2 linked regions of the Macaca fascicularis genome follow. The protein of the gene in region 2 purifies or fractionates together with the protein of the main gene of each other region. This does not show direct contact. Links are inferred from orthologs where the notes say so. Each region holds a gene or a part of one and is shown on either strand. Other genes may lie near its edges. The genes, in order: ATP5IF1 and MTMR9.

What was found.
Region 1: the proteins of MTMR9 (region 2) and ATP5IF1 purify together in Homo sapiens (affinity purification with mass spectrometry; 5 studies listed by BioGRID and IntAct, with this or other methods). This does not show direct contact. The link is inferred for Macaca fascicularis from reciprocal best matches to the Homo sapiens genes MTMR9 and ATP5IF1.

What each region holds. Positions count from the first base shown.
Region 1 is NC_088375.1:206,826,965-206,831,100, forward strand, and holds ATP5IF1 (ATPase inhibitor, mitochondrial), read right to left. Parts: upstream 2,728-4,136; 5' UTR 2,698-2,727; coding exon 2,611-2,697; intron 2,521-2,610; coding exon 2,429-2,520; intron 1,158-2,428; coding exon of another isoform or gene 1,154-1,157; exon of another isoform or gene 1,017-1,153; coding exon 875-1,016; 3' UTR 753-874; downstream 1-752.
Region 2 is NC_088382.1:9,609,672-9,613,487, forward strand, and holds part of MTMR9 (myotubularin-related protein 9), read right to left. Parts: intron 858-3,816; coding exon 684-857; intron 1-683. UniProt on the Homo sapiens protein: Acts as an adapter for myotubularin-related phosphatases. Increases lipid phosphatase MTMR6 catalytic activity, specifically towards phosphatidylinositol 3,5-bisphosphate and MTMR6 binding affinity for phosphorylated phosphatidylinositols.

The sequences.
Region 1 (4,136 bases), on a different chromosome or scaffold from region 2:
CTCGCCCGGCTAATTTTTTTTGTATTTTAGTAGAGACGGGGTTTCACCGTGTTAGCCAGGATGGTCTCGATCTCCTGAACTCGTGATCCGCCCGTCTCGGCCTCCCAAAGTGCTGGGATTACAGGCTTGAGCCACCGCGCCCGGCCACTGATGGTACTTTCAATTGTATTTTTTTTTTTTGAGACGGAGTCTCATTTTGTCACCCAGACTGGAGTGCAGTGGCACAGTCTCAGCTCACTGCAACCTACACCTCCCAGGTTCAACTGATTTTCCTGCCTCAGCCTCCTGAGTAGCTAGGACTATAGGTGCATGCCACCACACCTGGCTAATTTTTGTATTTTTAGTAGAGACGGGGTTTTACTATTTTGGCCAGGCTGGTCTTGAACTCCTGACCTCAGGTGATCCGCCCACCTTGGCCTCCCAAAGTGCTGGGATTACAGGCATGAGCCACCGCCCCTGGCCCAATTGTATCTTTTGAAGCAATGACTCCTTCGGATCTCCAGGCTCCTCCTGATCTTTATGCTTTAGATTGGGATTTATCCTTCAAGAAGCTTTCTCTGAACACCTCTAATTAGACTGGGGGGGTACCTTGTCTGTGTCACACCTATCCCCCCAACTCATGTTGTTTCATAGCACTTATCACACTGCGTTTCTGTGGGCTCCTGGATGCAGGGACCCCTCTAATCCATTTCAGCAGTCCATTAGTGTCTTTCCGTCTATCTCTTCCAGATAGAAGAAGGCATCAAACACAGTTCACTGATGACAATTTATTATCATCTGTTAGTAGCACACAGACAAATATTAATTAAACCAGAACCATGTCTACACAGAAGTGGGCAGTGACATGTGCCATTCTATGGGGAACTGTGTGCACTTAATCATCATGTTTTAGCGTTTTGATCTTCTGTTTATGCCGCTCAATTTCTTTCTGCAGACGCTCAATCTCCTTCTTATGATGAACGATTTCTTCTTCATGGTGTTTTTTCAAAGCTGCCAGTTGTTCTCTACTCTGTGCTCTACAAGGACACGGTGGCTCAGGGTTTAATTTCAATCCTTCACCCCAAAGAGATCTCTAAGCATAACCCGTAATGTCTAAGCAAGGAATAGGAGTCCCAGTTCCATGGGAGTCTGGCTGGTCATCCTCTTCTACTCCTCAACTAGTGAAAGAATAACCCATCTTAAATTGAGGTGTAGTCATCTTAAGAAGACCAAAATGATTTCACTGGTGCTAGTGGCTTAAATTCCATCATTAAGATCTTATTGCTTTCAGATTCCTCCTTAAAATAGAAAACTCCAGAGAGATGTGACACAAGTCCCTAATACCTTATGAGGGGAACAACCCAGGGAACCCCTTTAGGGGGGAAAAAAAAAAGGAACAAAATGGGGACAAAGGGGTGTGGTTAAAAGGCAAATATCCATTTCCTATTCCAATCTGTCTAGAGCTTTCTTTGCCTATAGAAATGAATGGCCCGCTGTAAGGCCAATAAAAGGTCTCCTGCATGGGCAGTATTTGGCAGTTCAATTTAGGTACCAAGAAGGGACTGGATTACAATGTTGGTTTGGCCACATTTAGGCCTCAGTTTTCCTTAACTACAAAATGAAGGGGATCAATTAGATAGTCTCTAACAGCAGTACCTTGGCTCTCTATACGGTATGGCAGGTGTCATGGTGATAATTCTCAACAGAAGGCAGAAGTGAAAGGCCAAAGGACAAGCAAAAGCAAGATTAATTCCTCACTGCTCTCCAGAGTGGACAGAAGTCAGTTAAAGATAACTCAGGGCTGGTAAAGGGAGGCCCAGCCCACTCCATACTTCTAAGCAGGAGCGGGAAATCCACAGATCTAGGCTGGGCTGAGTAGGGCAAAAGCCTTTAGGAGATGGTGTAGTCCAACCCTAAGTAGCTCCCATGACCAGCTCCCATGATCCTCACTCTTGCGGAGTCGGGGGTCTAGAAACACCTGAGAAGCCTGAATGCATGCAGGCTTGCAAAGCTAAGGCGTGCTGGGGAGGAAGGAGAGCGTAGAGGGGGTGACAGGTGGGTGAGGGCCGCGGGAGTCAGGCTGGGAGGCAAACGTTAGACGGTCGGATCTAGATACTGTGCGAAGAATCTGGGGGCGTTTCGCACCACCCGAGGAGAACTCCACGCGGGAGATGGTAATGATAAAGGAGGAGTTGAGCCGTGGGATGTTTTGGAGACCCGCCGGTAGAAATGGTTTGGGGGCCTGAAACTGTTGTGCAGGGAACTGGGAGTGCCCTGTAAGTGGCAACTTGGGACATCAAGGGTTAGGGTATACCAGATTGGGGCCCGGGAGTTCTGTTGGGGGATGGGGCGCCCAAGGCACCAAGGAAACGGGTGGGGCGACTGGCAGTTTAAGGATTGGAAGGCCCTGGGAGATCTAGGGCTGGACTTGGGACCCGGTGAGCCTCACCGGAAATATCGTTCCTCTTCAGCTTGCTCTCTCTTTCCGAAGGCCCCACCGGCTTCCCGGATGGAGCCCGCGCCCCGGTCGACATTCTCGGACTGCAGAGAGACAGGGACACTGATAAAAGTAGGGAAGCGAAGATGGGATCCGCCCTCGGGGCTGGAGCAGCGGACACTGCCGCAGCGTACCTGATCCGAGCCGAAGCCTCGGGCTTGCATGGTCCTCACGCCCCACACGCCAAGCCACGTCCGCGCCACCAACGCCGTTACTGCCATTGCTGCTGGAGCTGCACCTCTGGCGTCTCTGCCGCAGCAAGCTGTACCTCGTTACGCGCTAATGGCGCGGGGACGGCCAAGCACCCAATCTGGTCGACGGAGTGGCGGATGAACACAGGAGTAGCGAATCACGGGAGAGCGGAGGCGGGCTTCCCGGAGCTCACAGCGAATCCCGAGCAAGAGACGAGTTTATTCTTGGCCAACTAGCAAGGGCTCAGGGCCAAAGGACTGGAAAGAAGAATGATGGGGGAGTTTGGAGAGCTGGGTGAGGAGAGTGCTAGAAGCCGAAATTTCGGCTCTTGGACCCATCAGAATGAGGCGTGGCGTTCACCTCCAGCCCACGATTTCAACCCTAAAGTCGTTAATATTCAAAGCCCAAAGGAAGTTTTCCCTTCCCTGGCCTGCTACCATCAATAAAATGGGGGAATTTGGGGTTTGGGAGCTGTGTCCAGGATGCTGATGTCCGGGATACCGACGTCCAATGTGCTGCGGCTTAGATATACGTAAATCGCGTTCATTTGTTATGAGAAGTGCCAGTGTTCTGGCCGGGCGCGGTGGTTCACGCCTGTAATCCCAATACTTTGGGAGGCCGAGGTGGGTGGATCACCTGAGGTCCGCAGTTCGAGACCAGCCTGACCAACATGGGGAAACCCCGTCTCTACTTAAAAAAACAAGTATCAGCCGGGTGTGGTGGCATGCGCCTGTAATCGCAGCTACTCAGGAGGCTGAGACAGGAGAATCGGCCTGAACTCGGGAGGCGGAGGTTGCAGTGAGCCAAGATCCCGCCACCGCTGCACTCCAGCCTGGGCGACAGAGTGATATTGGTCTCAAAAAAACCCCCCAAAACAAAAAACTGGGCCGGGTGCGGTGGCTCACGCCTGTAATCCCAGCACTTTGGGAGGCCGAGGCGGTTGGATCACAAGGTGAAGTTCGAGACCAGCCTGGCCAATATAGTGAAACCCTGTCTCTACTAAAAAATACAAACATTAGCCAGGTGTGGTGGCACGTGCCTGTAGTCCCAGCTACTTGGGAGGCTGAGGCAGGAGAATCGCTGCAACCTGGGAGGCAGAGCTTGTAGTGAGCCGAGATCGTGCCACCACACTCCAGCCTGGGCAACAGAGTGAGACTCGGTCTCAAAAACGAAACAAAACAAAAAGCCCAAACAAACAAAACCCAAAAAACTGAATTTCCAGCCATGACAGTAAGGGAGGTCAGAAGCACATCTTGTTATGTCCCCTCCCTTTTAGTGTTTAAGCACAACAACTGACCAGCATTAATGTTGAAATAAAGAGCATAAGCTTAGCAAACTGCGCTCTTTGTGTAAATAAGGTACCAAATTATAAACAGGACTTAAGGCTATGTCATATGACAGTTAAGTCACACACCTTTAGAGGTCACTCCAACCCAATGTATTGGCTAACAGACTTCCTTGTCTTAAA
Region 2 (3,816 bases):
ATTCTCCAGTGGCCTCTACCATCCTTTTCAGTATTCCAGGATTTAACTACTTGTTTCCAAAAACTACCCTACCAACTATATATCTGGAAATGTTTGCTTTTGAAACTTTTCTCAAGAAATCAGTGTCTACTATACTAATGTCTTCCCTGGTGAATGGTTTAGAGTTCTTTCAAGAGACCACCATTACAAGGTAGTTATCTTAACTCCTTGTTTAATCCTGACTCCAGTGTTTACTAGAGTTGTGACTAAATGACATGAGCATCACTCTTCTCGCCTTTGAAAATAAATACGTCTGCTCAATTCACCTTTCACATGGAAAGTTGGTAAGAAAAATTCAAGTCTTTTATCATTATTCTGCGCAGAGAAATTTCTCATTTTTCTACCAGAAGAATGTTGCTGTAAGCATCAAATAAACACTAGTTTCCTTTGTATAGTGTCCTGGAGATAAAGCTATCAGGGCTTTTATACGGCTGAGCAGGATCATGGGAAGAATTCAGCATCACATCCTCACCACAGAAAACACTCTACTCCTGATTCCCTAAAGCTTACACTAAGGAAGCCCTCGTGGTGGAGACCTGGACAATCATTTCAGTGAACAGACAGATAGAAAAAGGGAACATTTCTATGAAAAGATCCCCAAGCCAAGCCTTTCAGTACATCAAGCAGTAGTGCTGTGCACTTACCATCCCATTTTTTTTGTGATAATAGCTTAGTACTGGGAAGCGCCCTCCATGTCGAAATGTAGCTACCTTCCGAAGCGCTTCATCATCGATGGATTTGGGCACTGTGACAATTGGCGGGTAGGAGGGACAGACAGCAAATTCCTTATTGACATAGCTTAGCCTCCATTCACTGGTCTGAAAAACACAAAATACTTCAAAGCTAAGCAACTATCTCAATGTCACAAAATAATCTGAGAAATTTTAAAAGACCTTAGAGGTCAACTTTCACTGATGAAGAAGCCATTTCTCAGGAATTTAACAGGAGGATCTCTAGCTTATATATAAGTAGCTGCACAGAAAAGGAGCTCCACGGTTCAGGGCCAGCTTCCTGCATTCCTAGGTATCACCAGTTCCTAGAAAATTCTTTCTCATACTGAGCAAAACTTGTTGCTCTGTAGCTTCCTCTATTGGTTTTTACCGTACTTTCAGAAAACACAGGACAAGTTCCCTATTTCACACCGTATCCCATCAAATGTTTGAAAGACAGTTGTTTCTCCTTAGTGTTCTATTCTCCAAGTTAAGTATATTAAGCACATCCACAATTACCATGGCCAACGTCCCACTTCTTCCTTTTCTGGGTCCCATTTAGTTTGTTAATGATCCTCTAAAAGCACAAGTAAGACTGTAAGACTCCAGATAATGCATCCCCAGAACAGATGAGAACAGAGCTACTATCTACGTCAAGTCCTTTGTTCTTTTCTTGTAAAAAAGGTAAAAAATGTACTAAGATTGGTAAAACCTTTCTTAAAACAGTAACAACTCAATACTAAGGAAGGTTAAGCTTAGGAGTCAATGAAATAATTTCAAACTGAATACTCTAAGGACTAAAAGTATATAATATAAAACTATCAAATGACAACTTATTTGAAACACCAGAACTGAAAACACCTTGAAGACTGTCAAAAGGTTTTACAGTTAAAAAAAAAAAAAAAAAATCAAATTATATGTAAATTTCAATATGTTCTGTATATCTGAGTTGGCCTAACCATGGGTTACAAGAGCAGGAAGATAAAGCTAAAAAGTATGTTAGATGTACTATAGGACAAGATTATTACTTTAAAAAAATGATTTTATAAGATACAGTATCACATTTTTAATTATTTTTTTTCACTTTTCGAAGTTATTTATGTTACCAGTTTTAAAAACATAGTTTCTAGGCTGGGCACAGTGGTTCACACCTATAATCCCTGCACTTTGAGAGGCCAAGGCAGGCAAACTGCTTGAGTCCAGGAGTTCAAGACCAGCCACGGCAACATGGCCAAACCCTGTCTCCACTAAAAATGCAAAAATTAGCCAGGCACAGTGGCACGCGCTTTTAGTTCCAGCTACTTAGGATGCTGAGGTGAAAGAACACGTGAGCGCAGGAAGTCGAGGCTGCAGGGAGCTGTGATAGTGCCACTACACTCCAGCCTGGGCAACTAGAGTGAGATTCTGTTTCAAAAAATAATAAATTAATTAATTTTAAAAAACACAGTTTCTAAAGATTTATTATTTTTTTAAAAATGTAGTTATCTGTTCCTTGCTAGCCCATCCCAATTTGCTTTCCCCAAAGACAATCATTTTCAACATTTTTAGCTTTTTTGGTGTTTAGCTTTACATTTCTAAATAACACGATTATACTGTTATTTCTTGAATTTTCGCTATGATATCTTATTTATTGATTTCCTACTCTGGAGAATGACAGGGCTCTCCATTGATCTGCAATGCGGCTTCTGTCGGTCCCAATGTACTGTGCTCTCTATCCTGTCCCACTAGTCCACTTAAGTAACTCCTAGAGCTTTTACAATAAGTTTGGTATCTAGTAGGCTAAGTCTCCTCCTCTCACCTTTTTGTACTTCAAAGAGTAACTTGGCTCCTCTTGGTCTTTTGGTCTTCCACCAGGTAACTTTTATCAAATTCAATGTAAAAACCAACTGGGGTTTTTATTAAGATTGTATTGACTTTATAAATTGGAGGGAATGAGTTACATCTTCAGAATATTGTTTCTCTATCCATGAGTATATTATCTCTCCATTTATTTAAGCTTTTAAAAATTTTTCCATAAATTTTTATAATTCTCTCAATAAAAGTCTTACTATCTTTTCTTAGATATAGTCCTAGAAACCCTATAATCTTTGTTGCATTTTAACTGCATCTCTTTAAACTTGTGTTTGGTGTAGAGAAATGCCTATGATCTCAAGATTCTTTCCTTTTCCTATAAAGACAAGCATATAATCAATAAATAATGACAATTTTGCTTCCTTCATTTCAATCCCTATACCCTATATTTTTCCTTGTTGTCTTATTGAGCTGACTAGGAGTAGTGATAATGGACATCCTTGTCTCATTCTTGAACTTAGATAGAATGATACAAGATTTGTTTTTGTTGTGTTTTTGGTTTTGGTAGCCATCCTTTATCAGATCAAAGAAATTCCCTTCAAATCCAACTCTAAGAGCGTTTAGCATGAATAGATATTGATCAAATTTTTTTCCTCTGTTAATCTAACACCATGCAGGCAATTTGTCTTTTCTTTAATTTTGTGGTATTTTCTTTGCTTTATTGTTCAGTAGCTGAACAACAACACGTCTAAAGTTTTTTTATTATCTTGTATGGTATCTGCTGGCATACCTTAGCTTAAGGGTTCAGTAACTTTTACTGATTCTGGAGAGTTATCAACTATTATGTATTTGAATATTGTCTTTCTTCTATCATCATCAACTTTTTTTCCTTCTTCTTCTTTTTTTTTTTTTTTTTTGTAGACAGGGTCTTGCATCTTGCTCTCTCACCCAGGCTGGAGTACAGCAGCATGATCACTGCTCACTGCAACCTCAACCTCCTGGGCTCAAGCAATTCTCCCACCTCAGACCCCAAGTAACTGGGACCACAGGCATACGTCATCACACCTAGCTAAATTTTTTCATAGAGATGGGGTTTCGCCATGTTGCCTAGGCTGGTCTCAAACTCCTGAGCTCAAGTGACCTGCCTGCCTCAGCCTCCCAAAGTGCTAGGAATATAGGTGTCAGCCACCACACCCAGCCTCTATCATTTTTTATCCTAAACTCCCATGCGATAAATATTGGATCTTATTCCTTTATTACGCATGCATGTGTCTAA